Schizosaccharomyces pombe: one gene and its partners. Changing the gene in region 3 together with the main gene of any one other region gives a genetic interaction. Each region holds a gene or a part of one and is shown on either strand. Other genes may lie near its edges.

Region 1 (9,146 bases), on a different chromosome or scaffold from region 3:
TAAAAAGAAAGAATGAATTCGATTGGAAAAATGAACATAAAAGATGATTTGATGCAAAAAGTAAAAATGCTTCTCCCTACTCTTTCAAATACTTTGTAAATTGTTTTTGCGAAAGATATGATTGCATATCTGGACTTACATGCTCCGACAACTGTTCGGAGTCAGGAAGCAATAACCCATTCATGAATAAAAGTTCCAAGAGATGTAACTTACTAGTATCACGAGTAACCGCTTTTAAAAACACCACTCCATTCTCTTCAAAATTTGGTTTGGCGGCTAAACCTAGTAATATTTTGGAGATTTTATTTTGCTCCAAACCCTCCAATAAAGTAGCATCAGCATCTACTCCTGCAAAGTCAATGAATGCGTGTTCCACATACTTCTTCTGGGCAAATGCCAACTTCACCTGCGCATTATGCTCCGGCTTTGGCTTCAGCGAAGGATTAGAAAGTCCTTTTTCATAAACACGGTTGACAGCAGCATTACCAATTTTGCACAAAAGGACTTTCGATTGCTGCGATAACGAGTCGAGTAGCAAAGAACGTGTTTTCGATATATGAGTACCTAAAGACCTATGTATACCACTGCATTCAATACAAAGAACTACCGGTATATTGATCGAGCACCAAGTAACATCTTTAACCGAACCGCAATCTGCACACACACTGTTAGAGACATCGGTCTTTCGGAGCATTTGAATGAAAATGTTTGCACTGGCATGGTATCTCTCTAACTGTTCCATATGCATAGTACCCGAATTGTCTGATCGAAAAAATTGTTGAAGGTTCCACGAGCCTTTTCTACTGAAAGCCTTCTTAATACCCGAACCGCTTAATTTTCGGCTGATAGGCGTGGTCTCAAAACTCGTAGAAAATAGTGGAAATACCTTAGAGGGTCGTCTCACACTTGCACTCAACGGCGTTGCAACCCTAGAAAGTTGGAAAGACGAAATCTTTGCTGCTTCGCATATAGCTTCAATCCACGAGTCCATCTCTTCAGCAGACGTGGCTTGATAAAGTCGCTTCAATTTCGGAGTTACAACTTCGAAACAAAACCTCCTTCCCTGTTTGCGAACTTTATCAGCAGATGCATGTTTTAACGAAATGGATGAAACATTAGATTTTACGGAATCTTTCCAGTTTGCATACTCCCATAAAGAACCGTTCTCAACAACAATCCAGTGCTTGTGCCAAGCGGCTTTACTAACCATAGCTAGATCTGTACCAAGTTCGGTAGCACCAAATACTAAGAGTAGACCCTCTTTAAAAATCTTGTCAGGGCTTGCACTACCCCCATTAGAAATGCACTTTCCCTTTATCTCCGTTGTAAAATTGCTTGTCTGGCTAATATCATCTGCAGAGGCTGCCATGCGACGATTTGGCATAGGACTCTGTATTTCATGTAAAGGGAAAGAAGGGGAAATCGGAGATGGTGAAGGCGGTGCCATGGACTTTGGACGACCGCTAGTTTGAATTACCTGGGAACGATGCATCTCTCTGCCCTTGTCACGTCTGGTTGTACTCCATTTTGTTTTTTCAAGTTTTAAATTGAGTTGCTGAAGATTCGGAAGAACACTATTCATCAAATTACTAAAAAGTGCAATATGGTCATATTGGCGATGAAAGTACTGCAAAAAAATACCGTTAATATCATTAATAATGGAACCATCGTGAAGGTCTTGCATAAAACAATAGTAATCATATCGTTGTAAGGCAAACGTTTTCTCTTTTTGAAAAAATTTAGAGTCTCCTCCCTTTTTGTCCTTTTTAGCTGATAGATAACGCGACAAAGATCCATAAAAGCTTTTGCTTTGTTCATCAAATTCAAGTCGTCTATCATCAATTGGCTTAATGAAGCTTGAGTAAATGTTATGAAATGGCTCATATAAAAGATTAATTAAATCATAATTAAGTTTTTGTATAAAGGTGGCATGAATGTCCATAGCCTTGGTTAAATAACTGTCCAGAAGTATGTCCATATTCATACTGGTGCTATTAGAAGCTTCCGAAAGTGTCTCTGACAATTTCATAACAGCAACTTGCGATGCATCGTATGCATCACTTAATTGGACAATACGTTTCATTATTTTTTTGCAATAATACTTCATAAGAGATGATTTTTGCTCAAGCTCATGCAACATAGATCGGAATGACGGTCCATCCTCATAATTCTCTGGGAATATAACGGTCTTGGTATTAATCAATGAAAGCTCCGTCTTCGCTTCCGGAGATTGAGGAGGTTGGGTTTGTACCGTCTGGCTAGTAGTTAGCGGCGACGTGACACGCTGGCTTTCCGAAAAAAATGTATCATCCATAGAATCACCGCAACGAGATACGGTGTAGTAGCTAAATTTTGAGATACGTTCAAGAGTACAGTCTTCAGTAGAGTAAACGGCTATGCAAGAATAGTTTTTGCATTCATACTCCAGAAGTTTACCCGAAGGAGGTGACCACTCCCAATGATATCTGATATTGGCCGCATTTGAATCTGGTAAAAAAATTTCATGTACATTATCCGAAGAAATTAAGTCTGCATATTTCAACTTCTGAGCAAAAAAAGAATCAAACGATTGAAGCGATTCGCAATGGATGAGTACAAGTACTTTCCTCTCCTTCTGCAACTGGAGAACACGATCACTGAATAAAAAGTAGAAGTCTAGCTTGTTTTGAAAACTAAACTTAGGGAGGCACTCTTTTGATGTAGAATCCTAATTTTTACAAAGTTAGTAAAATCGTATATGGAAATAAGAACATCTTCGAGCAACACGAATGCACAATGGGCTTGCTCCAGTTGCTCCTTTTGGATAAAATCATAGACTATATCTGTTTGTCTTGTAGTTATTGTCATTCATTAGTCTGTGTTATCCAGTTCAAAAGAATGGACTTATAAATAGATGTAAGAGTGATAACTATTTTTTGACAAAAGAATCGACACTATTAAATGTGTCTATTTTAATATTTTACTCAATGTTCAGATACTCTTAGCTTTTATATCATACCAAAACCATGTCCACCAATTTTCCTGATGAGCTAGATATTGACTCTAGAAACCCATCTTCTCGGGCGCGGAATGAAATGGTAGAGCCATTGTCTAATTTGGAAACATCAACAGATTTCAATAAAGCTAAACGTTAGTAACGAAAGTAAAAATATTAAACATACAGTCACTTCCGTCCATTGCCGGGTCAAAGGGCTATTAGTATAAATTCGGTATGAGAACCGGCAGCAAAGCTTGAAGGAGTCTCAATCAAAAATTTGAGGGTTCTCAATACGAAGCTGCTTGTTCTCTTCGTCAAATGGTAAAGATGGATGTTGTGCGGACGACAGGTTTTTTCTTGCGGTCAGAGCCCACAACTTGCCGTATCACCACTTTCGCATATTCTGCCGAAATCATTTATTTTCATGCAGAAACTACGTTTCTATTTGAAAAAATAATGAAAGAAGGAAATGAATTGGAGAAGTATTCAAAAATTGAGCTGAATTCAGAGATTTGGGAAGATGAAGAAGAAGAGGATAATTCTGGGATTGTATCTCAAAATGAGAGATTAATGAAGCTAGTGAATAAGCAAAGAGAAATTATATACGAGCTGCATAAGGACTTGGAAAAAGTAAAAAAGGATAATACTTCATTACGCATGCGACTGAGTAAATATGAGTCTACAGACTCATTTCCTTCTAGTCAACCGTCCAGAGCTAATTCTCCTCAATCGGACTCTTATAGCTCTCCATATGAGAAGGGGAAATTATTTCCCAAGATTTCTTTGAAAAGTTCCAAAGACGTACCTACTGCTTCTGCTCACATTAGCTCTTCAGACCATGAAAAATCTAGTTCTGTTTCGTTATCTGCTTTAAATAATTATAATAAAACTACCGATATCAAGGCCAGGTCGTTAGACAGATTGTCGGATATGACCAGACCAAAACTTTTATTGAATACGAAACGCTCGCACCGTTCATCTGAAGAACCAGGTGCATCTTCACCAGTGACATCTCCAATATTAAAAGACAGCCAAAAGGAACGGATACAGGCCCTCCGAAATAAAGCAATCAAGACTTATTCGGTATCAACTGAGTCAGCTGAACGAATTGATTCTATCCGTTCTGACAATTTATCACCTTTGTCATTAAATACATCTTCTTTTCGTAGGCCAATTACAAAGCCAACTCCATTTAACTCGGACAGTAATATTTCTATTGATCCTAAAGATAACAATTCAAACAAACAAGACCATTTTGCTGAAATTGAGGACGAACTTCGTCAACAATTCTTGGACATAAAAGTTGGAAGAGCTAATGCATCATCGCCTAGGAGAAAAAGTATATCTATTGTAAAACCGCATGGTATATCTTCCCCAAAGCATTCTACTAATAATTTAAGCTCGAAGTCAGGTAAATTCCATTCTGATTTTCGAGTTGTTTCCGAAAATGTTCTTTTACAAGCTCGAAGTGAAACGAATTCTCCCATTATTGAAAATAAGGAAGCAAATAATTTCTTGGCTCCAACCTCAAATGTTCCAGCATATTCAACCCCTGCGCGTCCTACTGAGAGTCCTCCACCTCCGCCAATTTCTTCGTCTTCTACCACACCTAGGCCTGATGACAAACCTAGCCTACCTCCTCGTGGACTTTCAGAAGATAACGATTCTTTGTCTCTTCAAAAGACTGGCTCATCCGATACAAGAAGGTCCTCATTTTCTACCTTGAAAATACCTGATAGTGACATATGTTTTACACGTCGCCGGTCGGATTCCAACAGAACTTGGACGGTCATCGATCCTCATCATTCACAATCTTTTGATAATGACATTCTAGCAGAAATACCAACATCGAAACTTGATAATTCTAGCCAAAAATCTCCAGGAAAATTGTCTTCTAAAGGGTTACTCAACAGCTTCTCACCGATTTCGCCATTTAGCAAGTCGAAATCTCATAACCATCATCCATCAAGTCAAGTTGAAAAATCCACGTCGAATTCCAAAGGTTCTATGTTACCTTTGGATACTTTGTACAACAATAAGTTGAGCTTTAGGTTGGATGAATCATTAGTCCGTTATCTTCGTTTCGAGCTTATGAAAACCAGTTTGGCTTCTTTATCTCCAGATTTTGATTGCATAGGGTTGCAATTCGTGGTCGGTGTCTCTGCGAGTTCACATTTAGCTTCACAATGGAAAGATGAAGTATGGAGTTTCACAAGGAGCATCGGAGAATGTCGTTCCTTTGCTACTTCTTTCGTCTTAGACATCGGCGCACCTCCTTTCCCTACTCTTGATTGGTTTACAAATGACTCTTCAGTAATTCAAAACGAATTGTTACGCCGTTCTGTCGATACCTATTTTCGTTATATATTTCAAACTGATCTTAAGTTGGAACAGAGGATCAAGTTACTAGAATTTTTGTCAAGTGACACTTTACGAGAATACCTTCATGATGTATTCTTTCTTCCTCCTGAGCATGCTCAAAAGGAGGGGGTACTTTTGAAATACATTGAAAACAGTGGTTTAGTTTCACGTTATTTTTATTTAAAGGACAATATTTTATATTTCGCTGAAAATCGAAATTCTCCAGTACTTGGTACAATCCATTTAAAAGATGCGCAGGTGAATCGCTATAATGCCAATTTACCTATATTTTCTATCATTGATCCTCCTCATGAATTTTTAACTGGTGAAAATTATCAATCCGCTTTTGTAATTCAGGAAAAACAAACGGAAACGCGAACGGGAACTGCAACTGTTCACGTTCTTTTAGCAAGAGATGTTGAAGATCAGAAGAGTTGGCTGCGAGCCATACTTCGACAGGTTCCTGGCTCTACTTCTCCTCTCAATGCTAGTCCCTTCTCTGTATTATCTTCTGATTTTCCTGGATCTTCTCGTTATCGTGATCAATCTTCTCCTATCCGTTTTTATGGAAAAGCAGACTCAAGACCTGTAAGTCAAGAAGCAATTTTAAGTCAGGATATATCCAGCTCTCCATCTCCCGTTTTACCACCGTCAGAAAATGTTGCTTCTTATGCCGATGATTCTTTGGTTTCAAATTTAACCATGAGTCCTAAATTAAGGGATTCAATGGAGCAGGTGCCTTTAGAAAATCATAGAGAGTTTGAGATTAGTGATCGTGTTTCTGAGTTGTCATTCGACAGTAGTACGGGAAGTGTTTTAGAGATTGCTGACACTAGACGAAACCAAGATGCTCCTGAAAAGCACGTCCCCGTGATAGAAATCCAGTCTTCTAGACCTTCGCTGGAGAAGACTGACCAATCTACTCCTGTAGAGTTATTGATCGATTCTCATTCTCAGAATTCGCAAAATGAAGAAAAGAGATCGAGAATGAAATTTTGGGCGTTTCCGCATCATAAGGCCGAAAATTACGAACAAATATCTGATACGAATATACCTGTGATCGAAACAAATGTAATGCTTTCACCAAGTTCGACAACAAGTGCTGAGCCATTACAGAAACATATTGTCCGTAAGTCTGGAATATTCGGTCTTCCTCTTAATGAAGCGGTGAATATTTCTACTCAATTCAATGACAGCGGTTTGCCAATTGTTGTCTACAGATGCATTGAATACTTGGAATCATGCCGAGCCGAGAAAGAGGAAGGTATTTATCGGTTAAGTGGTTCTGCCTCGACAATTAAACATCTTAAGGAACAATTTAATGAAGGAGTAGATTACGACTTGCTTTCGTCAGACGAGGAATTCGACGTGCATGTAATTGCTGGACTTTTAAAGTTGTATTTGAGAAATTTACCTACCAACCTCTTAGACACTTCTATGCATAAATTATTCGAACTGTTACCTAATGTTCCTAACGATTCTGCGGCCCTTGGAGAACTTTGCGATGTTATTAGCAAACTCCCTCCTGAAAATTTTGCCCTTTTGGATTCCCTGTTACATCATTTGCGTAGGATTATTGCTTTTGAAAAAGTTAACAAAATGAACATTAGGAACGTTTGTATAGTGTTTTCTCCTACTTTAAATATCCCTTCGGATATATTTATGATGCTTATCCTTAACTATGATCATATCTTCACAGATATTTCACGACAAACGAACGGAGCACAAAACGAAAGCGACTCTGATGTTAGTGATGACAATGGGGAGGATAACGAATTTTTCTAGGAATTTAACGTCTACAAATTGTCAACGCTTGAGACGGTTAGTTTACTTAAACTTTCAATGGTTGTACGTGTTTTACTATCCCTTTGTCTTTCGTCTTCCTGTTCATTCCTTTATTGAATTATTTCTTGTTTTAATGCTTAGAGACACAGGGATTCTCCAAATATTCGTATGTACGGCAGTCGTCTTAGTACGATGTCGTTAATTTACTCTTTCTTTTAAAAGTTTTAATACTCTATAACTATTTTAGCCCTTCGTTTGTTCATTCTTTTCTAGTTCTTCTTATAACTAATTTTGGGCAGGTTTTTTATGATTGTATATTCAATTTATGTTGGAAGCTCGGGTTTTTTCTTTATAATCTTCTTTTATTTTTATTCTTCTTTGATTAGTATAATGAATTGTCGTTCTATTCTTGCTATTGAGCGGTGATAAATGAGCAATATTATATGTTATTTTAAGTAAAATTGCTAACATTAAATATCATAAACTAATCTAGTAAGGGTCATATAGACATAGCTAAGTAAAACGTATATATTCACTCTTAGCTGAATATCATTTTTTTAAAGGAATGCTTTCGTACAGTTTTGTTTGATATTCGAACTACCAAACAAAAAAGATAACACTGTTTTGTAGATGATACCAAACTGACGACAGCAGACCATTTATGGATAATTTATGCCTGTATCACCTAATCCATAACAGCATTGGTAAACAGAGTTCACGATAGTCGCATAAGCATTCTCGCTGAGACTCTCATAAAACCTCGGATTAGAAAATGAAAGTTGGAAAAACTAATTTATACAAATACACAAAAGCAAAGCGCCTACTATGATGTTATCGAATGAGAATAGTACCGATGAGGTTCAAGTCAACCGATTCGTAAAAGCAGACTATAAAGCTTTTTAAATAACCAAAAACGCACTAAAACAAAAATCAGATGTTGATCGTGCTATTAATGAACGAATAGTGGATGCTCTGTGGTGAAAGAAAACGAATCAAACGGAACCATCCTAAACAGGACGAAAACCCGGGGGAGGGGCACCACGTCCAAAACCAGCAGGTGGTGGAGGAGCAGTATATCCAACTCCTCGCACAGGTCCTGCCAAACCAACGGGCGCTTGACCAAGAGGAATACCACGACCAGCAGGTCTGGCGACACCCGGCCCACTCAATAAACTACCACGCATAGAAGGATCCATGGGAGGTGGTCCTTGAACGGAAAGAGAAACAATAAACTCACCACGAAGAATGACGAGTCCAAGCATGCGCTTTTCTTCGTATACGGAGTTGCTAGGGACGTTTTGCTTTTTTATATGGCGATATTCCTGGCAATCACTCAAAACAAGATTCATAAATCCATCAAAAGCAAGTAACTGGCCTACAAATGTTCTTCCATCCTTCGTCGTTACGTTCAAAGAATGGTTTAGTAAAGAAACCATTTTTGTCGTGCCCTAAACTTGCAGTTAGCAACAATCGAAAATTTTAGAATCGTATATAAGTTCCAAATGCCACATACCATTTTGATATTGTGTTTTTCTTAAGAAAAAGCACGAGTCTTAAAGTCACCTACCAAAGAAGCTGTACACTAGGTGTTCAGTCTTCAATAACTAAAAAGCCTAACCCTACCCTATACATGAAACAGTCACAAGCACTGAACGAAAGTTTTGTTATTGTGCTAAATACTTTGGCATCCACCAAAGAAAAGGCACAAGATGGCAGAAAAGGCACAGAATCCTATGAAGGAGCTCCGTATCTCCAAATTGGTTCTCAACATTTCTTTGGGTGAATCGGGTGATCGTCTTACTCGTGCCGCCAAGGTTTTGGAACAGCTCTCTGGTCAAACTCCTGTTTTTTCCAAGGCTCGTTATACCATCCGTCGTTTTGGTATTCGTCGTAATGAAAAGATTGCTTGCCATGTCACCGTTCGTGGTCCCAAAGCTGAGGAGATTTTGGAGCGTGGTCTCAAGGTCAAGGAGTATGAGTTGAAAAAGCGCAACTTTTCTGCTACCGGTAACTTTGGCTTCGG
Region 2 (7,671 bases), 2.8 Mb from region 3:
TTGTGACACGCAATATCTTTCTCGAATAATCCTGACTGTCAGCCAAAGATTCACTTGATTTGCGATTCATCATGGCAGGATCCAAGCGAGAATCTAATTCACTAGCATAGGAGGGATATTTTCCTTCATTTGCCGAGTCGCTCATTCTAATTTTGAATCTCCTGAAATAGAAGTATAGGAAAATGCACAATGCCATTACCACGGCGAATGCCACACAACCGATAACAATACCCACAATAGCACCTGCATTCAAGGACGTATGGTTTGACGCCTTGCTTGCATTTAGAGCGAGGGCAGCCGTACTGCTTGGAACTTCACTACTGGTTGAAGAAGAGGAACTGCTTGGTGTTACTGTGACAGTAGAAATAAAAGTAGATGAGGACATGGTCGTGATAAACGACGAAGACGAAGATGGCCGACTAGAAGATGAAGAGGAAGATGAGCTTGAAGATGAAGAAGAATGAGAAGAACTGGTGGAAGACGTTATTGGTACGGAAGAGGAAGAACTAGAAGACGAAGAGCTGGAAGAAGACGAAGAAGACGAAGACGAAGAGGAAGAGGAAGAGGAAGAGGAAGATGAGGAAGAAGAAGAAGAAGAAGACGAAGAAGAAGAGGAAGACGACGAAGACGAAGAAGAAGAAGAAGAAGAAGGAGATGTTGTTGTTGTAGTTGAAGATGAGCTTGGAGATGATGATGAAGACGAAGAGGTCGTAGACGACACTGACGAGCTAGAAACCGTGGTTTGCAAAACCCCATTGCCAGTCAGATAAACCGACCAGTACAGATCACCACCACACATAAGAGAACCATAACCTGGACAAGGCGTTGTGCAAAGAGAACTTGAAACTTCTGTAGCAGTAAGTGTACTACCGCAATAACATTGATTATTACGGATAGCTACAAATGCTATATTATCAGATCCACCACAAATGTTGTTATAGCAATACGCTGGATCAAGATAGGTAAACGTGCCTTGTTCAGTTAAGCTACTATCCACGAGATAACAGCCATATTGAGTGTTCATGTCAGCCGCCACCAACCGAGTAGAAATTATCAAAAGGTAAACAAAAAATAGTAACCTCCCCTTAAAGGGAGAGGAATTTAAAAAGACCATGGAAATTAAATCGTGCGTAAGTATAATAGGAATGAAAATTAAAACTTAAATTTGGTAATAAAAATTTTGCCCTCAGTAAATTAAGTTGTTTTGTCTATAGACTAAAGAGAAAACAAATTATTGGACCAGTTAAGAGAAATATTATCAAAAGGCGCAAACCGAATGAAAGAAAAGAAAGATTGGGTAAATAAAATAAAGAGCGTAAAAATTCAAATGCCAATGAAGAAAATAATTGTTGCAAAATCACTTCTTTATCAACATGAAAAAGAAAACAATAAAGGATAAAGGCTCAGCAACGCAAAATCAAGAATTATTAAGACCGAGCAGTTGGTGAAAAGTACTCAATATCCAACTTCGTTTGTTCCGAAATTAAAAACAGAATTTAAAAAAAGAACGAATAAAAAGTAAAGAGTAAAGATTAATTCAGAATTAAAAAAGAACGCGAATTCCTGAAGTTCAACAAAATACTCGGGGACGAAAGTACAAACCCGTACCGAACTTGGCTATCCACAGAGCTTCCGTTTGAATCGTTTCTTCGAGCTTCCCAGGCTTGAAAACTCCTTTACTTTAAACAATACACTAGTTCCTTAATAAGGATACAGTGTTTGACAGATTGTCGTCAAAAAACACTTAAGAATTCGATTAGTTGTTAAGTGGAAAAGTTAGCTCCGACGGGCCCCATAAAGGCTGAAGTCAGTCGAACCTAGGCGAACACTATTGACCCTTACCGAAACGGTATTTTTGCCTTATACTATTTAACGAATGAAAAAGGCTCCGATTGATACTTGGTTGAAACTGCGAATAGTGCGATGTTGGGTATCACTATTGACCGATATTGCCTGTTAAAATGACCTAAACGTTACTTTACATAACTCCTTATACTGTATTACACGTGTTATATATTAAACGCTAACTGATTTTACGATTATCTTCTTTAAATAGCAATAATAACTCTGTACACTGCGATATCACCGTTTTGTAGAACTTCTTTAGCTGCAGTATGCCCATAGCAGCAACTTACATATTCAATTGCTCCTGTAGTGAGAATAATTATTCTGTCTATTTAAATGAAGTTTATATCTTAAAATAAAAGATAGTTATCTTTCTGGATTTCCGGTTTATCTCTTGAATGGAAAGACACCATGTCGAAGTACCCACGGTTAATTTTTTACTTCACATCAATATGTACAAATCGCTAATTTGAATATGATGCTTAACCTAGAATAGTATATATTTATATATATATATATATAAATTGGAGTATTATCTCAAGTAAATAAGACACAGCTGATTAGTTTCTCGGTTTGACCAGTCACCCTGGTTTTCTAACCTAAACCACTTCTGCTAACTTTAACAATAGCACGTAAACTATCTTTGGAACCTTCATTTTCGGGATGACCAAGTCCTTTACCTGCATACCATCCTAACTTTTCGAGCAACCGACGACCTGGATTTTCTTTGCTAATTTCAGGGGCATCTTCTCCAACAATTTGGCCATCATATACACGTGTGGCTTTACTCGACCTCACAGAGGAAACAGTCATTCGAGATTTCCTACCAGATTTGGAAAATGACTGATACTCAACCCTGGTCTGTAAACGCTCCATAATCCTGGTAAGTGAAACCAAATCCACACTAGATGCATCAAATTTATGAGTTTTGGAAAGCATAGTATACCGCTTGTTTCCAGATCCATAACTTCTCGACTTCAAGTTCAAATCGTTGGCAAGCGCATGAACCAATCGACGAACATATTTTCTGCATGGAGGAAGGGAAATTTCTTCAATGGCCGAGTGCTTAAACTGTTGCATCCGTTGATAAACATCATTTATAAATATCTTATCAATTCGTGTAAGACTAGCATTGTCAGAATCGGAAGAAGACGGCTTCTGGCTTTCGCGCAAAAGTTTCTTTTTGCTTTTCTTTCCAAGTAGCCCCTCAGAGCGGAGTTTCTCCCTTTCCGCTCGTCTTCTTGCCTTTTTGCTTTTATCTTTAAGCCATTGTTCTTGCAATTCAGCGTACAAGTTCATGCTCTCATCGTCCAAAGAATTGGAAAAGGCATCTCCCATTCTAGCGGCCACAGCCTTTCCTGCCTTTCTCTCTAATTTCTTTTGAGCTTTACGCATTTTTTTAGGAAGTTTGCGATCTTTTTTCAAACCTTTTTCTTCTTTTACCTTCGCCCCTTTTTTGCTTTGAGAAACTTTTTCCGTTTTTTGAGTTGAGGGGTTATTGTACTCTTCATCCTCACTGTCATAATCATAAATAGTAAAATCATTTTGCAAAGTATCTCCAATACTAAGGTATGCCTCAATCTCGGAATCATCACTAGCATCAAAAATTGCCAAAAGCTCTTCTTCATCTTCATCTTCATCTTCTTCCAAAATATCATCTTCATCTTCGGCTAATGAATCTGTATTTCCCACAAGTTCCGTCGTTAACTTAGCATAATCATAGTCATCTGATCCCTCATCAAATTCTAAAGATTCCGAATCTTCAAGTGAAAAATTTACTTTACCCTCTGTCTCATCGTAATTTGATATTTCAGGTTTTTCTTTCTCCTCTTCCTCCTCTTCTTTCTCTCCTTCTAGCTCTTCATCTTCGTCCTCATCATCATCATCTTCTTCTAAAACGGAGAGGTCGGCAAACTTGTTCATAGTAAACGTAGTCATTTTATCGGTGGTGTCATCAATATCAAACTCGTCTTCATTTTCGGTACTCAACTGCTCCTGTGCCTGAGCCAAAGGCGGTGGAGGTGCAGCGTTATTGTTAGCAATATCATCATTGACCAAGTTTGGAACATTTAGTATGTCTAAAGAGTCATCATTATCTTTAGAATATAACTCCTTCTCAGATTCTTGTTCTTTGTAACACAACTGCTCACTTTCTTCTGTAGATGAAATTTCCTTATCACTTGGTGCAAGATTTAAAGAATGCTGAATCAAAACATTTTCGTTCATGCTTTTCTCAGGAAAACTTGAAACTTCTACATTCTTGGTGGTATCAAACGCTTCCGCATATTCCGGAATTTTCTTTACTTTCAATGTATCACCTTTCGAAGTAATTGCTTTAAATAACACAATGTCCAACGCCTTTATTTCACCGGTTTTTGATAAATCTTCGCAGGACTTAACGTTGGTTTCCTTGGGAAGCATAATCTCTTTGCTTTGGTGCTTAGCTTCATTGTGGGCATTTTGTTCATCGATTAATTGACACAATTCTTCCGCCGGGTTGTAATTGTCCTTAGCACGTATAAAGGTAATTCGGGGCCATTGTGAAATTCGACTACTAGGGTTTAAACCAAAAGGGCTTTTAGAATTATTGGATCCCTTAAATCTTCGGATTCGTGTATCACCACGAAACCTGGCAGAAGTTTGTAACTGATCTAAAATCTGTAGATCATCAAAATTTGACATTGAGGGATACAAGTCAAAAAATATGATAAAAAAAATAATATATAATTGTTTTAATAAATAATGATGGTGAAATCCTAAATTGTGAGGTGCGTAAACCAAATGGTGGTAGTAGGATGGAGTCTTGGGGGAAAGTGCTTCATATAGTACACTAAACGATTTTGCCACGGTATTAAATACAAATTTCTAAATATTCAATTTACAATTTAACTATTAATTTCAAGTATACACGTCTATTTAAACTGAAGTTGAGGAGATTCATACATTGACCGACTCAAAGTTGAATATGAATTAACCGACAGTAGCTCATCATGTAATTATAAGTTATAAATTTTTGTATAAAACATATAAAACAGCCAAATAACTATAATGTAAATAGTGCAAGAAATAGAATGTTAGAATATAGAACGCTATACTAATGCAGTTTCTTTTACGTCCCTCGAGAGCAACGACAGGGGAAACGATTTGTTCTTGAAACAGGGAGCAATGTAAAAATACATAGAATTACTTTATAATGAAAAAAATTCCTTTTTATTTTAAAAGTATAAAAGAGAAGCGTCGAATAGGGAACGAGATGACAAATTCTGCATATGATGAGAACGGTAAGGAATTTGAAGTTGAACACATACACAAAAGTGTATTCAGAAAAAGGAATAAATAATGTAATACGCTCAAAAAAAAGAAAGTAATAGAAATTTTTCTTAAGAATTTCAAACTTAGACAACGAAAAATAACAGTGAGTGCAGATATATGTATAAGTAGCGAGCGAACCGAATATTAAATACAAAAAAACAGCTATACCTTGGTACGTTTTTGAGCGTTCAGCATATCAGAAGAATAGAAGTTAGGATTATTGTTGGGATTTTCACCTTCAACCATTGGGGAATGGGTACCTTGGCGTTTAATCCCCTGAAGACTATAGGGCGGAACAGAGGCAATCGGCATGGATTGAGGAAGAATTGATGGATCCATATTGGGGATATTATTTTGGTCCAAAAGACGATTAGCTTGACTAATTGCATTAGCAGGCATAGTGGGAGGTTGCTTGGCATAACGATAATTAGAGGCAAGACTAGCAACATCACCATTCCTAGGCGAGCCATTAAACCCCGAGGGGGCTGGATTTGCATATGGAATATTAGAGGAAGTAGACTTTTGCATTTGATGCTGTTGTTGTAAAGCTGTAGCAAATTTATGTAAAGCGCTAGTCGGACCCGATCGCTGAGCAAGAGTGAAGGCTATGAGATCGCGCATTCCCGAAATTGTTTCAGTAATTTCCATGAACCGCATGATGTGCGGTTCCAATCCATATTCGTTGACGGGTGAATCCGGCAAAAGAGAAGAAGATGAGTTAATATTTACACTTTCGGATGACGGATCCTCACTTTTTACCCCATCGTGTTGTATTTGATTTTGAGGAGGCCGCGACTGCGAAAGGGCTAGGGAAGCGTTTGTCATTAACTCGCGCAAAAGATACTCGGAATGTCCGACAGCTGAAAACTCTAAAGAGTCTAATTTTAACAAAGGAGCACGAAAGAAATGAGCCCGCAAGTGCCCCGATACAATTACCTGTACACCGCCTTGATACTGATATAAAATGCTTGCCCTTGACGATTCCACAAAATACCCATTGTTTGGAATGGCAAATTCCTTTGTATTTCCCAAAAGGAACGACATCTTTTTAAGTTTGCCGCAATAACTCAGATATAAGAAGCGCGGAAGTGCTGCATACGATAATTCAAACAATTTCGGCTCCTGGTTTGGCGAATCTTTGTAGTCGATGTTATAGCGAAATGTTCCCTTTTCAGTATAAAAATCATGCACAAATCGTCTCCAATACCCAATATCATCTTTCATGGTACTTTCCCATCCTGACATTAACTGTTCATTATATTGTAATAATCGCAAAACACCGTATCCTAGTATATTCGAGCCATTATGATACATCATGGACGCATAGTTTGCAACCATAGCTGCGAAATTTACAAGAAAGCCACCAGCGCTGCAGAATTGGATTTGTTCAAAGTGCAAAGCGCTTGTGAAACATTAACGGCCGGAGCCCGCCATGCATGGTTAACCCTTTAAGTGAATTAGAGATTGGCACGCTACGTTAAAGACATTTAGAAAATGTGATGCGCTGTGTTATTACAAACGGCTTGTATTTGGGTGAAGATAGCATCTTTCAAACGCCTGAATTTGTGATATAAATTAACATTTTACAAATTAAAATATAGAATAAAAAATTCCTTCGTAATTTACCTTGTTCCCATTTTTTACACTGATTTCGAGTATCAATATTAATGAGATCAACGCCAGTTTTCCGTATGCCCTTTATCAATGTTCTCTTATTTTGTTTTAAACACCACCTTTCAATTCGATATATTAAAAAGAATGAAAAATGTATGTGAGAGTATGTCAAGATAACTTGCAAAGTAAGAGTCAGCAGATTAATAAATAGAAAATAATATTTAAAAAGATTTAGGAATGTCTTGGTTTGATTATTTTAATATGTTGTAAGGTTCCTTTCCGAATGTATACAAGCAATCGTAGTTTACAGATCACAAAATCGGTAATTTATTTTCAGTGTCTCTATACATTATTACTTATTTGATGATTAGTTCTTGAATTTGAAGATCATCAAAATCATTGCCCTTACTAAATATTGTTGAAATAAAAATTTTGCATCGGTATTAAGTTTTGTGTTTGTATACCTCGAAATCAACCAAAAAAAATTTTTTAAATGGTGTCGCATAGTGTAATGTTTATAAATTAAGTAAAAAAGGCTTGATTTCAGGAAAGATTTGATATAGTTGATGTATCTCGAATTACTTTATTTTGAAAAAAAGCAATGAATGCGATATTGCAAGAGAAATCATTCATCAAAATTTTTTCGTTATACAGAACAACAGCACAGTTAGTATTTCTTGATAATACTGATTACAATTAATATGGTTTTTTTTAGAACTAAAATTGATTACTAATTCATTCTTTGGTCTAATTTCTATATCGTTTTTCGAAAATTACTACTCCATTAATGTTTCTCTAGCTGTTTTATTTACTTACTTTAAATATTTCTCACTATAGCACGTGAGTGTAACGAGGTAACAAAATTGACTATATGAAACGAGAGTTAGTTTCAAAGAAAAG
Region 3 (9,136 bases):
GAAATGTGCATTCATTTTTTTGCGCCTCAGAAAATATTCCTATACATTAGAATTACTTTACTAAATATCATTATCAAACCTTCGTTGAGAATAGCACGTATCGTTCCTGAAAGACAAGCAATTTCTTTTTCTAATATAAACACAAAGCCGTCGCCAGATATAAGTCTCACGTATTCTTTTTCCATATTTATCTACTGTGTAATACTAAGATTTCGTTTTATCACGTCAATTTCAAAAAAAATATAATACCCGACCGTCTTAGGTGTTCTGTAGAAAAAGTAATGGTAGCAAGGAAAGTAAACATTAATTATTTAGCTTACTTTCCGGACCCATAATTATTTAATTTAATATAGAAAATTGAATTTAATTTTCTTTTGAATCAAAATAGAGGACAATATATTACTGACTAAAATTCTCTAAAATTAAAAGGGAAAATGTAAATTTCAACCGTTAAAGAAATCATTTAAAACGATATTTAAGTTAAAAAAATATCGAAATTGGTTTCTGGCAAAATAGTAATTTTGTTTGTTGACAAAACTAGTTTGTTTACACTAATTTGGTCCTCAAATCATAGCAATTGGTATGCTGAAATCATCCATTTATAACATACTCTCTAAATACGCCATTCAAGAATATAAATTTTAAGCATTAATTGAATAGACGCTATACAAAATTTTATATTGATATTATATATATATATATACATATATTGGCTAGAGTCGCAATGGATAATCAGCAAAGAAAGGTACAAGGTTCATCGAGCAACACCTTTATAAAACGAGCTTTTCAACATTTGAAAAGTCTATTTACCGTTTGTTTCACTGGAGCCGACTATCTGGAAAGCGATATCGAACTCATATGCCAAAATGAGATTCAGCCACAAGGACTTGAAAAATTAAACGCCGATTCCTCAAATTTCTATTGCAATTCTTTAACCTCAAACCAAAGCTTGACTACTTCAATGGAAGCGCTTGATTTGAGTAGCTCTCTTACTACACCACATGCCGATAAACTTCTAAAACTCTCAAATTTAATAGCCGCCAAATCGTTCACAACTGAACGTAAGCTATCTGCTGCAGAATTTTTAGATTCAAGAGAAATTCATAATCCATTCACATACGGCTTCCTAGGTATTTTGTATGGAACAAGCAGGACTCCTTACTTGCATGCTCAGTATGCAAATTCGTTCATGTCCGAATCAGCAGTTCCGATATCAATTGAACTGAATAATAGAGAAGCCAAAGCAAGTATGAATCTAGCAGAGAAAAACTTTCCCGAAGGATTTGAAGACTTTGTTTCGTTTTTAGAGAACCCCAATATACCGTTAACGGTGCTACTTCATCATGTGATGCTTTATGACTTGTATTCAAATAATCTTAAAGATGCTGTGTGGGTGGCAGTAACAAACTACATGAAAAATTTAGTTGGAAATTATGGTTATACTGAGTTGCACATCAGGGCCGCACAACAAATGTTTGGGCATCCAAGGTTCTTGTTGGTACATCCGGAAGACATATATTGTATTTCTGGATCATCAGATTGGGTTTGTGTTTCTACTCAACATTTCCATTGCAACATTCATGTACATTCGGTTAGCGGCAATGCCATACGGAAAAGCAGAAATCCTATAATTCAAGATCTAAGTTCTATTTGTCAAAATTCCACTGAGTTTGGATGGCTAGCATTGACCCATGCGTTAAGAAAGAAAGGCGCGATTTTCCCGATCCATGCATATCTAAATTTTAACGCCAAGCTGTATGAAGAGTGCATTCCACCATCAATCCTTTACTTCAACAAAAATGATGAAAATATAAATGTTGGTAATATAGAAGACATCACTAATTACATGTATGAAACGTTTATTAACGAAGCTTCACTCTGTGATAAATTCATGAAAAGAAAACATGAAAGGATAGAGACACCGTTGAGCTCACAGGGAAGGGAAATTTCCAATACTCTTAGTCGGAAGCGTGGTGCTAAGGGAAGTAATCCATTTGAAATCGAAAATATGATGCCACACGCCTAGAAAATAAAGAATTCTCGCGGCATTATTAACGATCGTTAATGAGAGCAACTATTTTAAAAGAGTCTTTATTTCAGGATTTACTGAAAAATTACACTGCAAAGTGAGGCCCGCAGCTTTTTGAGCAGTATCAATAGCATCGTCCATACCCCAGCCTTTCGAAAGCAAAGCAGTGAAAGTACCGATAAAAGTATCACCAGTTCCGCTAGCATTTACAGGGGTTGCTATAACTTTTGGAACAGGGTAATACTTTACAGTCACATTTCCGGGGGTAAAAAGGCTGGCTGAGTTTGAATTCACTCCTTGAAGTTTCTCAGAGCTTATTAAAAGAGCACCATTAGGTCCTAACTTAACAATAATATTCTTTATGAAGGGAAGTAAATGAAAACACTTTTGTAAGATTCCGTTTTCTGTAATTTCTTCTATTCCTGTACTTTTCGTAAAACGCTCAATCTCATTATAGAAAGAGGAGGTGATACCAAAGCTGTTTAACTTCTGCCACCATGACTCATTCTCGAAGAAATTTCCGTCTTTCATAGCTTGAAATAATACATCGAGTTCAAACTTGTTCGGTGTTATAAAATCAATTGAGGCAACAGATAAGACTTTTAGTATCTTTAATGTTTTGGGACCACTGGTTGGTTCAAAAACGACTCGTTGCTTACTCGATTTAGATGTGGTTATATCTAGCATCAATGACGGTGAAATATTACCATCAAAACAAATGTACTTAGCGTCATTAAGATCATCCTTGATTTCTGAATAACTAAGGTTTTCCATGATGGCCATGTCAGCTCCAGCTAATAATAAATTGCCATTACAATCGTTGATAGCTGTGTATGAGCAAGAGGTAAAGTTACTTTTCTCAACAATGGTATGCTGCAAAGAAGACTTGGTAAGATACTCTTTAATAGAGGAAGTGGGTACGGATTTTGTTCCAACACATGAAACCAACTTCGTAGAAGCGCCCATTAAAGAAGAAGCCAAAGCCATGTTATGAGCAACACCGCCAAAAGCCTGTTCAGAGTGACAAGGATGAGATGTGCCAAGGAATTTAGATGTTAAAGGATTATCCAATTTCAAAACTGAGTCAATAGACACACTACCAACACATACAACTTCTGCAGGTTTGGACGTTGTTTCTGTAATTTTTTTTTTGCTCGACGAAACCCCTTTGTCACTCACTTTACCATAGAAAAAGTCTTGTTTAACCGGCTTCGTTTCAAATGTATTTCCGGTGTTGGTAGGGAAAAAAGAGCTTTTTTCTTTTAAAACAGCTAGTTCTTTTGCAATAAGGGAAGCCTTTTCGGCATTGTTTAAGACCAAATCAATATTAGTATTTAAACTTTTCCCTTTTGATTCTCTTAGAAGTTCTCCTAAAAGCCATGGAGTTACATTTTTACCAGTTATGCCAAGTTGTACACTCCTTTGCAAACAAGTTTCAATCAAAGCCTCCATTTTTTCGTAATCAATAGAACAATGGTGAGGGGTGGGAATGGCCACAAGAGTACCACATTCCTGGCCAAGCTGTATATTACTAAAGAGCATGTTAGCAATTAACTGCGGAGTTTCTAGAGAAAGAGGGCTCTGGAACTTGGATTCTCTTGAAAAAAATGCAGGGAAAGCCGATTTTGGAGGGCCTAAAGTGACAACAGGAACACCCTGAGTTTCTAATACTTCAAGTGTGCGTCCAATATCGAGTATACTCTTGACACCAGCACTGACGACGGCAACCCTTGTGCGACCTAATTCTATTAAATCCGCAGAAATATCCATGGAATTTTCTGCCCCACGATGAACACCACCTATACCGCCCGTTGCGAATACGTCAATGCCAGCTGCTCTAGCCAAGATCATAGTTGCAGCAACTGTGGTTCCACCATTGAGTCTCTGGGAAGCAACATAAGATAAATCTCTACGAGACACTTTATATGCTGTTTCACCTGATTTAGCAAGTTCGCTTAACTGAAATTGTTCAAGCCCTATAGTACATTGTCCATTTAATAGAGCAATTGTCGCAGGAACCGCACCCATGCTGCGTACCTTGCTTTCCACTTGAATTGCCAATTCTTCATTTTGAGGATAAGGCATTCCATGAGTGATGATAGTTGATTCTAAGGCAACGACTGGTACGTTGTTTTTAAGGGCTTCTGTCACTTCCTTGGATAAGGCCAGCGGACTATATCTTCTGCAAAGTATATTCCTCAATCCAGGGTTTGGATTTCTCTTCAGCCTTCTGAACCCCAATGGAATACGTGAAACTAACCGACAACCTCTATTCATAACGATGAGCATATAAGCAAGATGCTAAGAAAAATAGTGATAAATAGGTAAATAATATAGGACAAACGAAGAAAGCGTATATCAGATAATATTAAAATCGTGAATAAATCGTACTATACGCGCTCACTCCGCGTATCTAATAAACGTAAAAAGAATGAGTGGAATAAAGTTAACCCAAAATTGAGATTTAAAAAGGACGTATACTATTAGGAATAAAAGTTTAAGGAACAAAAAATGAAAATGCCAGAACGATCAGACGACGTTTTTTATATATAATCTACCTCGGCAAATCATATCTAAACATGGTGGTGTCTGATAATAAATGTACGCTTTCCCCATGGAAAAGCCGATCACAAAAAATGTTACTTCGCCGATATATGTCAAGATAACTTTATAGTAAAATGTAAATAAAAGGAGAGCAGGCAAACTGAATACTTTGCCGGCGCTCCGAATTTACTGATACAAAACTTGGAATTGAGTTTTTTTTTGAATTCTTTTATTTATTTTGGTGTCGAAAACAATTCATATTAAAGCAATAGACTTGAATTTTGAATGGAGTTGCAATAAAATGCAACTCTATTTAAAAAAGAACTTCTTTTATCCAGGAAACCAATGCCATGACCCTTTTTTATCTATTGTGTTTAATTGTGAAACCATGTTCTGATTAAAGTATAAATATTCATTCTTCTGAAAGGAACTGAATTTTTTATGATGTTTGCATGGCTTAATTTGTCGAATTGTTTCATTATTTTTATAAAAGAATTTTACATTATTTACTATATTTTTATTCTAAGTACTAAGAGGTTTTTAAGCTGACTGAAGTGTAAAATTACTTTACCCAAAAAATTATATTACTATCATTTTTACAGAAAAGATAAAATAAGGATCAAGATTTGCCAGACTTTTGAGTTTTACCATATTCACATAATCCAATTGACAGACAAGTTTACTATAATAAAACAAATGTATATCTGTTTACAAACTATTGTTGTTAATTCCCTCCTTCAGGAAAAAATGTATCACTTCATAAAATGGTTGAACTTAGGTCTATGACTAAAAGATATTAACAGCAAACTAAGTAGTGCTATCTTGTTCTGAAGCATATTTTTACAAGTTTTATTATTCAATCTTTTAATCTCTTTCTCCCTTTTAACAATGTGCCTTGTATATTAGGATCAACCTAGATTGTTTAATATTTTCTAGTATTTTAACGAATTGCTTTTTTACTTTTTTCCATTTAACTTCCCCTTGTTTTTTAAGACTTTAGTGTTTATCTTGAAATTTACTTGACATTATACGCATGACATTTACCTAAGGAACCCAGCAAAAGCCTAGTCTTCGTCGGTTTTGACGAAATGAGTCAAATACAAGATTTAAAAGATGAGAATGTCGAAATGGATATTGATCCACAAGAACAAAACGAAAAAAAGCCTTTGCTTCTGGATGAATTGACCAAATTTACGATTTTACATCCCTATAATTATGATAGTCATATTAAACTCATTGAAGAGTTAAAGCGTCTAGATAAAAAGAAGGAGTTGTCAGAGGCTAGAAAGACTTTTCAATCGATCTTTCCACTTTCAGAAGGTATGTCAATCAACAATCGTCTAGGTAAAGCGTGTTGAGGCGAATTCCATAGACTCGCAAAAATTATTCACTAATTACTTTAACTTTGTTAATCTTTTGACAAGCATTTATTAATGGTTTTTAGATTTGTGGGTAGATTACCTTTTAGATGAGTGCAAAAACTGTAGGACTTTAGACGACTATGTGAGGATAAAAACATTGTTTGATTTGGCAGTTCAAGATTATCTGTCAATCAAAATTTGGTGTATGTATCTTGAATTTACGCTAAACTTAATGGACACTTCTTCTTTTGAACAAGAACAGTCTGAATTAAACGGCGTTATTACTTTGACAGATGCCCATTCTCTTTTTGAACGTGCATACCAAACTTGCAAATTTCATTTTTCTAAAGTAAGGAACTAAAAATTTTCTTCATGATAAAAATGTATTTACTAATCAATGTTTACAGAGTCAATGTGTTTGGACGTTATATTTGGAATTTTTACAGACGTTCGGTGATGCTCTATTTGAGGGAGAAGAAGAGCAAGAAATTGTTTTTAAAAACAAGATATATGATTTTCATATTGATAGATTAAAACTTCCACATGAGCAGATTGAAGAAACGTTTACTTCTTTATCAACGTTTGTCACAAATAACTGGTCTCCTTCCGAATATGAGGATGTTATGGTGAAAAGCAATAAAGTGTATGAGACTACACTTAAAAGAAATGCAAAAATTTTTAATAAAGAACTATTGTTAAACAGCGCAAATCATTCTCTCGAAGCGTATATGGATTTAATTAATGATGAATCGCGACGCTCAACAGCTGAGTTACAATATATAACAACTCTCTATGAGCGTGCCATAGTTTTGTATCCCCTCATTCCGGAACTCTGGTTGCAATACACTGCCTGGCTTAGTAAAGTGGATTTTTCTTCTTCTCAAGCGTCCAGTGTAGCAGAACGAGCTACTCGTAACTGTTCATGGATTGGGCGTATTTGGTCCATTAAACTGACTTATATGACGCTTTCTGGAGCATCCACATCGGCTGTCTGTGAAGAGAAAGATCGATGTTTGAATTCAAATTTGCTCGTAAATTTTGACGAGGTTATTGATTTTTTTAGCGGATTTTTAAAAGCATGCCTATATTTGTCTTCTAATGAAGATAAGCCACAGGAATTTTTGAAACATCAAATTCATAAAGTCGAAGACTATTTGCGAAAAAATCATAAGGGATCAAAGGATGCAAGAATGCGCATTGAACTTTCAAAAATTTATTTATATTCAGAAATCTCTGATTTTGAAAGCGTAGAAAAGTGCTGGTCTGATATGTTTCATGATTTTCAAAATCAGGCATTATATTGGATTTCTCGATACATAAGTACGATGAAGTATAACCCAGAGCTTGCGGCTGAGACGTTAAAAAAAAGCCTTTACAAAAACGTTGATCAGCCTCAACTTCTGTTCCAATTTTATCAATCCATTATGGACCTTAATAATGACTGTTTCACAAACACATCACATTTATATGACGTTTTAAATGCACAGAGGATTAGCTTCAAACGTCAATTGGATTCTTTTGCTGAAGAAACGAAGCAGACTGTCGAAAACACCGAACCACTAAAAGTGCCTCAAGCTGATGATACAGCCGCCCTTTCAAAGAAAAGAAAACCTGGGCAAGAAGGTGATGTGTTCAAAAAGTCGAAACCTATTGAGCAACACAGGAATAGGGAAGAACTTACAGTTTTGGTTACCAATCTACCTTCCGATATAAGCGAAAATGAGTTGAAAATTTTTTTCAAAGATTGTGGTAATATTATACGCATTTTTATCCTCGAAGACAATCAAAAGGATGTTAAAGTGGCTCAGATTGAATTTTCTGAAACCAGTGAAGTTCTTGCTGCTAAAACAAGAGACCTTAAATCGATAAGGGGTCATGAAATTTCTGTTCAAATTCATGTAGACACGAACCTCTACGTTACCAATTTTCCTCCGACTTATGATGAATTAGATATAACCAAATTATTTTCTGCATATGGTAATGTGGTTGACGTCCGTTTTCCTAGTCTAAGGTATAACACGAACAGGCGTTTTTGTTATGTACAAATGAGAAAGCCCGATGAGGCACACAATGCCCTGCAGTTACATAAGAAGCTATTGGAAGAGAAGTATCCTATTCAAGTCTTTATATCAGACCCGCTTCGGCGAACTCCTAGAAGCGGTGCTGTCTATGAGGGTAGAGAACTCTACGTTACAAATATTGATTTTAAAGTAAATGAAAAAGACGTAGAAACATTTTTTAGGGATTATGGGCAGGTTGAGAGTGTTCGAATACCGAAAAGATTTAATCAACATAAAGGTTTTGGATATGTGGTAATGACTACAAATCAAGATGCTGAAAATGCACTTTCTGCTGCTGGAAAGCAATTGGGAAATAGAGTTTTGAACGTTGTTTTGTCGAAGCCTCGAGAATCTCTAGAGAAAACAAGGGTATCATCCAATGACAACCGAACCTTAGCTAAAAGCTTTGAGACTACTGAGTCAAATAAAATGTCAACGCCAAAAAAATCATTCGAACAAATCAAAAGCAAAAGCCTAGGAGTCACTAATGTCGACGGGACTGTTAACGAGGCTAGACTTAGAAGTTTATTCGAAAGCTACGGAAAGTTGTATAGAGTTGTTCTTCATCCTGAACATGAAGGTGCTGTAGTAGAGTTTTTGGATATTCATGATGCGGGAAAGGCATCCTTGGCATTAGAAGGACATGAAATTGGTGGCAGGTTACTACACATTACCACTGTCAATGAAATGATGCACAATGTCCCATCTAGTATGAATCATTCCGATTACAATACCTCTGCTACACGCCCACGGCGACTCGGAAGCCGAACGTTTCAAGGTTTCAATTCCAATCATTCCAATATAAATTCTAAGAAGGACGATTTAGACGATAAAGAAATGCAGATAGATGCACCTAAAAGCAACGATGATTTTAGGAAAATGTTTTTAAAATAGTCAGCAATAATTAGATTGAATGATTAAAAAAATATTGAAAACCTAACTTTTGATAATTTTGATTTATTAACATAAAAGACGAACAACACCTCATGTACGTGAAAGACTTGGGAGCGGATTTCCAGGTATTTCCACTATTTTTAGATTAGCACTATGATCTTTGGATAAGATTGCAAGTGAAACCAGATTTGTAATGCAGCAACATAATAAATTTTTTAAATAGTTGGTTTGCAAGAAATACGGGTTGA
Region 4 (6,665 bases), on a different chromosome or scaffold from region 3:
GTTGTTTTACGCTCCCTCGATGTTTTAACTATTTTAGTCCCCCCGGCTTTGCCTGCGACATTATCTGTAGGGATAGCTAACTCAATTGCCAGGCTTAGTCGTGCATTAATTTACACCACTTCCCCTGAAAGGTATGCATTTCAAAGAGAATTTTATTCATTTACTAACTTTGTATTAGCATTCATAATGCTGGATGCTTATCTACGTTTGTATTCGATAAAACTGGTACTCTAACAGAAAACTCTGTGCAGCTTTCTTGTGTCTATGTTAAAAGTGGATCAAATGGATTACTTAAACAAGTTGATGCTGACAGTTTATCTCTCGATAGTACAAAGTTAAACGCACATGCCTACAGAGTAGCTACATGTTCTCAATCATTGGAACTTGTTGGTAATGAACTTGTTGGTGATCCTTTGGAAGTCACACTCTTTACTCAGTTCAATGGAACTTTTTGTGCCACTATCAGAGCTTCAAATACTCCACATCCTCCGTTATTTTCCGTATCCAATTCTTTCGATGGACCCAGTCAAATTTTTTCTATCTATAAGGCATTGGAATTTGATCCGGTTTTACGTCGGATGTCAGTAATTTGCTCTACTAGTACTGAGAGGTCTTTAATGTTATTCACAAAAGGAGCTCCAGAATCGATATTAGCTATTTCTTCTCAACAGTCCATTCCAAGCAATGTACAGGAAGTTATTCATACGCTTTCATCTAAAGGGTTTCGAATCATTGCATTTGCATCCAAGAACCTTATTACTCCACTTCAAGAATTGATACATCTTTCTCGTTCTACTCTAGAATCCAATGTTACCTTTCAAGGATTGTTTGTATTAGAGAGCCCTTTAAGAGAATCATCTAAAGATGTTATTTCCTCTCTTTTAAGAAGCAAAATGGAAGTTTCGATTTGTTCTGGCGATTCATTGTTCACTAGTGTTTTCGTTGCTAAGCATTGCGGTGCATTAGACTCATGCAATTTTATATACACAGCTGAACTAGCAGATTCTGGGGATGATTGTCCACAAATCCATTTTGAAAAAATAGATTTACAAACTCAGAACTTTCAGCCCATTCCCGACGGCTTCTCTTTAAAAGATGTAATCCTCGAGAAGGATTCAAGCCTTTGTATGGATGGAAAACTACTTCAAAGATTATTGACCATGCTTTCTTTTAATGAAATTAAAATCTTATTAAGTAAACTAAGGGTTCTCGCTAGAATGTCCCCTTTTGACAAGGCTACATATGTGGAGCTTTGTCAAAAATATGGCTGCAAAGTTGGCTTTTGCGGTGACGGGGCAAATGACTGTATTGCTTTGAAGCAAGCCGATGTTGGAGTTTCTCTCTCTGATTCCGAGGCATGTGCTGCAGCTTCCTTTGTTAGCAAAAAAAAATCAATTAAGGATGTTTTTAATGTCTTATTGGAGGGCAGATGCTCCTTAATACTTAGCCATCGTTGTTTTCAATATATGGTGTTGTGTGCTATAGTCCAGTTTTCTGGTGTCTTCTTTCTCTATTTAAAAAATTATAACTTTAACGATAACCAATTTTTGTTTATGGATCTGTTAATCATATTTCCACTGTCAGCAGCTATGAGTTACTTCGACCCTGCTCAAAATTTGACAAGCAATCGCCCTAATTCAACATTGTTTGGCAAAGGAAGAGTAAAGGATTTAGGAATTCAATCAGTATTAATATGGCTATCCCATGGCTTGCTGACTTTAATACTACACGAGTTGAACTGGGTTGAATTACCTGAATGGCAACTTGAAAAATCAAATACGAAAAACGTGCTAGTGACTAGCATATTTCTTTTAAGTTCTTTACAATATTTAGGAATTTGTATTGGAATAAACCAAAGTTCCGAGTTTTTGTCACCTATTTGGAAAAAAAGTAAGTGAAAATCCTGTCTTTTGTTTATTAACATCTTATGATATAGAAACTTATGTATGTTTGTGTACTACCATTGGCCTTTGCAATATCTATCTATGTTTTGCAAATGAAAATCACATTATCTCTAGGTGTTTGCAAATCACACGTCTACCGACACTGTATCGTTTCATAATACTTTTTATGGGAGTTATCTCGTGCTGCCTTACGAGTATTCTGAACATGTAAAAAAAACAAAATTAAATATATATATGTTAATCAAAAACTTGCTTTTATGTGCAATTAGGGTAGAAAAAAAAAGGAGTTAAAGAGAGAAACAGGTTTGGGACATTAAGTAAAATATCAATGAATGTTGTATACGACCGGTTAACTTAAATATGCCGTAGCATCTTCCTCTAATTGTTCATTACCCCAAATTGAGCGAGAAGGTGTCCAAATTTGAAGAATATTATCTTCAGCAGCGGTTGCCATTGTCCAATTATAATTAGGACACCAATCCATGTCAATTGTACAAGAAGTATGGCCTCCGTGCATAAAAAGAAGCTCCGGAGGACCGTCTTGAGCTTCCTCAGCAGGCTGATCTTCCCCGATTCTTGAAAGATCCCAAACTAAGGTCCTTCTATCGGCTGAGGTAGAAGCAAGAATAGGCTCTTCATGAGGAGAAAAGCTAATTTTTGTTACAATGTCTTCATGTCCTTCTAATGTATGTAAGCGTTGATTAAGGTTCCGTAAATCCCAAAGTGCAATGGTTTTGTCAGTCGAACAAGTAGCCAAAATAAAGTCGTTATGAGGGTTGAAAGCAACAGAATGAATAGGACCGCTATGGGCATGCACACTTCGAGCTGGCTTTGTGGAAGCATCAGGGCGACGAATATCATGAACATGAAGGTACTGATCATAGGAAACTGAAGCAAGAAGATCCTGGTGCTTATAATGAAAGCGTACATCACTGACCTGTTTTTCATGGCTGCTTATATGCACTTTCAAAACTGACGCTGAATCTGACTCGTTGTAAGCATTCAAATCCCAACAAGAAAGAGTAGCGTCTTGCGATCCAGAAACCAAAGTACCCTTAGAAAGAAAATTCCAACAAACACTAGTACAGGGCTGGGTATGTTTGGTCAATCTATATTTGGGCTTAAGAGGAGACTCACTAGCCGAGCTATAAGATTCGAAGGATTCCTTGTCAAAAACCAACACATCATTATGATAGTTACCCACCGTAGCTACACAAGAATCGTCTTGTGGCATAAGCTTCGCACTACAAACAGACTCAGGATGAGAATAAAGATTTGAGATATTAACACGTAGAGAAGACTCGTCACCCGCAGATGCTCCCTCCATTGTAGTAGGAGGAACAGTCTGATTTAAATAGGGTAATTGAATAGACGCAACAGCTAGTAAGTATTTGCCAACATCAGCACGAACTCCCAGAAACATTTTCTGCTCAGTATATCCATGTTCTGCAAAACTATAACAAAAAATAATGGTAAGTTTTTTGAGTCACATAAACAAGATTAAACATTATGATTCAAATGATTGACTTACATTTGCTGCTCTGGATACCATTGTAGTGACATACAAGGCCATTCCAAAGCTCTAGTAATTATTAAATCGTAAAGGAACGGTGAGTTCTTTTTCCAAATTTTATACTCTGTTTCAGATTAGAAACACATTTTACATTGATCAACTAGAAATTGTATGTTAAAACGTTGCAGACATACCTTCATTGATGCATTTTTCTTGATTTATTCCCTCCTCCGAAGCCTGCGCTTGCTTGGAAGGATGGGGAACAGCTGATACAGCCATTATGTTCTAGTTAAAATGATTGAATCTGCTTTTTGGTGGATGGTGAGTAGACGCGTGCAGCGCTAATGTGCACACTAAGTGTTCTTAAATAGGTGCAGGTTGGTTTATAAATTAAGATTGTTTAGGTTTTATATAATCACAGCCGTATAGATGTTTAAATGGGAAAAAACAATAGAAACTTAATCTTGTCTCATGCTTCGGCTAGCGTCTTTTCATCTTCTCTCTCGACCTGAGATGCGTTTCCACAGTGCTAGAAATTGCAACTTTTAAAGAGACTGTTAATTGTAAAAAGTTGAATTACTAAAAATGATTATGTTTGCTGAACATATGTATACAGAAGTGAGATATAATTTGGGTAGCACAAGCTTCCCGATGGACTGCTATAAGACACAAGATGGAAAGATAAATTTATAGAGCTGAGAGTTAAGAATCTTTAATTTAGATGAGTTTTTTTTTACTTTGCTTTCATGCTAATTTCATCTACTCTAACTTCTGCATGAATCAGTGCGTCAAGAACAGAAACACTTTGAAGCTTTTTTTTAGTCACACAAGGCAACAACCGCTTGAGAAGCAGGATTATTAAAATTGGTAAAAAAATTATGTTCCTCTTAGTTTTAAGGTACATTCAACTTGTGTATCGCCAATAGCAAAACGCAGCCAAAATTTCTGAAGTTCTCCTTTTTTTGAATATTCAATTGAGCGTGAATAAAAAGTATATGATTTAAAATAATGATCTCCCACCTGTTCTGCAATCCTTGGAAAATGCATCAAGTCATACTGAAAACCAAACGAGCAAGAAGCCGAATTCAAGATGCCCTCGTATTCTTGCGTACCCTTAGTAAAAGAAATGAGAAATATATTTAATTTAATTGTTAAAATGAAGACAATCCCGTTTCAATATGTATGCCGTTCTTTACATCAAGAAAAAAGAACTTCGAAGCAAGTCATACCAAACTAAAAGATCGTTGATCTTAAAAAGGAACATTATTAATTTTAGAAACGATGATGAAGAAGCACAAAATTACCTTTCACTTAAATACTTCGTACACAATACATTTGTTTACATCTTTCTCTTATAATAAATCTACCTTAAGACACACACTTTCTCAGTAAGCTGATTAAGAAAAAGCAACGAAGATACTTTATCCATCTTTTATTTACATCTTCGAGACATGACGTTTCGTAATAATTCCCACCTTTAGACTAAACCGTTTCCACCAAATTTGTACCTTTTCTATTATTTTTCTTTATTTTTTACTCTCACATAATGAATTGTTTACTTCTAGGAAGAGGATTCTTGCACAGGTTTCACCCATTTCGCCCAGTCTTGTGTGAAGATTCGGCAAGTGCTGCAACTACTATCACCTCTCAATTTAAGCTGAATTACCGTCAAATCTTTATTGGAAGCTCTCTTGGTTTAGCAGCCGGATTTGCTTTAGGAAAATTGGGCCGTTTATTCATCGTTGCCTGCTCCGCCGTTTTCGCTACCATTGCTGTAAGTGCTTAAGTTTGATTCTTTATTTATATTTAGAGGTTTTAAAAACCTTGTGTTTCGCACTGAAAATCGTATTTATCTTTCATAATACTAACACAATACGTTTATTAGTATATTAACAGTAAAGGTCTGATCCGAATTAATTGGCCCCAGCTGCAGCAACAAGTTATAGGTCCTACGGAGCAGTATACTGGATTTCATTTCCCAAGTTCAGGTAGGTTTAATACTCAATCAACATTTCCTACCATTCGTAATTGGATCTGTACAAACCCCAATTTCAAGCTGAGCTTCTTTTCAGCTATGTATGTTGGATTTGTGTCATCATAAAAGTGGCTGAATTTCACCACAACACATTTCGATTTTGATACATTGTTCAGCCCTCGCACTCCTCTCAATTCCTATGATTCCTTTGAACCCCAACGTTCGTTCTATACTACCAATAGTGAAACATTTTGCTCACGCTCCTGTTCAGAAGCTTACTTTTCATATGCATCTATCTAACTATAATTGAGTTTTCATTCATTAACCAATCAACACGATTTTCTTTGTTTTGGTACCGAATTTAATTATTAAGTAGCTGCACACACTAATGTCTTAGACAGTGGAAGTAACTCAGATATGTCAGCTCCGTGCTCATAACTTTCTAGGTTTAGTTAAAAAGTGACTTACTAGTGCATGCAACAAATCACAGACACCACGCTCACTAGTGTACATATAAAAATGATAACGAACGTAATATAAAGCTTTAATGTAAGAATTCTTTAAAAATATATACATATACCCAAAATATGTAGTTTAAACACCAACTCTCTCCCTTTCCTCTTGGCAATTGGAGTGCCGGTGTTGAAACCACATGAGGTGTAATAAAGTTAAAATAGACAAACACAAGCGATTGTTGAATAGCGCTTGGCATTGTGTCAAACTATGAATAATTTGTGACGCGTTTCACGATCAAACCCATCCCTTCGCCCTTCTAGAGTGAATGCAATAAAAAAACAAAAGTCTTTCAATACAATTAAATTATGCATGTAAACATAGTTTAATCAAGACAGTAACAATAGTAAATCCTCATTTTCGAACAGCTTAGAAAGCTTCGAATGTCATGATTTGTAACTTTTAAATCCTACTCTCTACTTACAGACCAGCATTGCCAGCTTCACAAAGAGTGATGGAACGAACCCATTCACTCTTCATTATCTGTTTTGCTGTCAGGCGGTAAGTTGGGTTGGGATGAAGAATGTTGTACAAAGTGTTTCTGCATCTTGAACGTTCAAGCATTTCGATAGGTTCATAACCGCTCTCGTTTTTCCTATCCATCAGATATCTGGAGTAATACTCGTCTTCACTCTTTTTGGCAACGCGCCAAAGATGTCGACCGGTACGCATGGCCATATAGATAACACCACAAGCCCAGACATCTACTGCGCGTGGATCAAATTCACTTTCTGTATATTCTTCTGGAGCAATGTAGGGT

Evidence for each region.
Region 1: mutations in SPOM_SPBC1861.05 (region 3) and rga2 together harm fitness less than expected from each alone (positive genetic interaction), as found in Schizosaccharomyces pombe (one large-scale study listed by BioGRID).
Region 2: mutations in SPOM_SPBC1861.05 (region 3) and sqs1 together harm fitness less than expected from each alone (positive genetic interaction), as found in Schizosaccharomyces pombe (one large-scale study listed by BioGRID).
Region 4: mutations in SPOM_SPBC1861.05 (region 3) and prw1 together harm fitness less than expected from each alone (positive genetic interaction), as found in Schizosaccharomyces pombe (one large-scale study listed by BioGRID).

What each region holds. Positions count from the first base shown.
Region 1 is NC_003424.3:3,346,546-3,355,691, reverse strand, and holds rga2 (putative Rho-type GTPase-activating protein Rga2), read left to right. Parts: upstream 1-3,433; coding exon 3,434-7,123; 3' UTR 7,124-7,589; downstream 7,590-9,146. Other genes in the region: cnt6 (centaurin ADOP ribosylation factor GTPase-activating protein), read right to left, coding at 77-2,707, 2,999-3,123, 3,162-3,177; Sm snRNP core protein Smb1, read right to left, coding at 8,131-8,571, 8,637-8,639; rpl1101 (60S ribosomal protein uL5), read left to right, coding at 8,833-9,146. UniProt on the Schizosaccharomyces pombe protein: GTPase-activating protein for Rho-type proteins.
Region 2 is NC_003423.3:1,299,502-1,307,172, forward strand, and holds sqs1 (G-patch and R3H domain-containing protein), read right to left. Parts: upstream 4,635-7,671; 5' UTR 4,528-4,634; coding exon 2,440-4,527; 3' UTR 2,096-2,439; downstream 1-2,095. Other genes in the region: transmembrane receptor Wsc1, read right to left, coding at 1-1,114; ldb1 (LIM domain binding protein), read right to left, coding at 5,320-6,495.
Region 3 is NC_003423.3:4,135,733-4,144,868, reverse strand, and holds SPOM_SPBC1861.05 (carbohydrate kinase), read right to left. Parts: upstream 4,621-9,136; 5' UTR 4,319-4,620; coding exon 2,075-4,318; 3' UTR 2,027-2,074; coding exon of another isoform or gene 725-2,026; 3' UTR 501-724; downstream 1-500. Other genes in the region: elc1 (elongin C), read right to left, coding at 1-39, 80-185; protein Mug131, read left to right, coding at 725-2,026; RNA-binding protein Prp24, read left to right, coding at 5,662-5,893, 6,018-6,283, 6,342-8,888; naa35 (NatC N-acetyltransferase complex subunit Mak10), read right to left, coding at 8,979-9,136. UniProt on the Schizosaccharomyces pombe protein: Bifunctional enzyme that catalyzes the phosphorylation of pseudouridine to pseudouridine 5'-phosphate (PsiMP), and the reversible cleavage of pseudouridine 5'-phosphate to ribose 5-phosphate and uracil. Is involved in a pseudouridine degradation pathway.
Region 4 is NC_003424.3:5,108,179-5,114,843, forward strand, and holds prw1 (histone chaperone, Clr6 and Rpd3L complex subunit Prw1), read right to left. Parts: upstream 3,705-6,665; 5' UTR 3,697-3,704; coding exon 3,612-3,696; exon of another isoform or gene 3,542-3,611; coding exon 3,436-3,541; exon of another isoform or gene 3,359-3,435; coding exon 2,254-3,358; 3' UTR 2,116-2,253; downstream 1-2,115. Other genes in the region: Ca(2+)/Mn(2+)-transporting P-type ATPase P5 type Cta5, read left to right, coding at 1-131, 179-1,890, 1,937-2,115; fun14 (integral mitochondrial outer membrane (MOM) protein), read left to right, coding at 4,964-5,191, 5,303-5,518; serine/threonine protein kinase Hal4, read right to left, coding at 6,326-6,665. UniProt on the Schizosaccharomyces pombe protein: Has a role in chromatin assembly and chromosome segregation. Involved in the deacetylation of histones.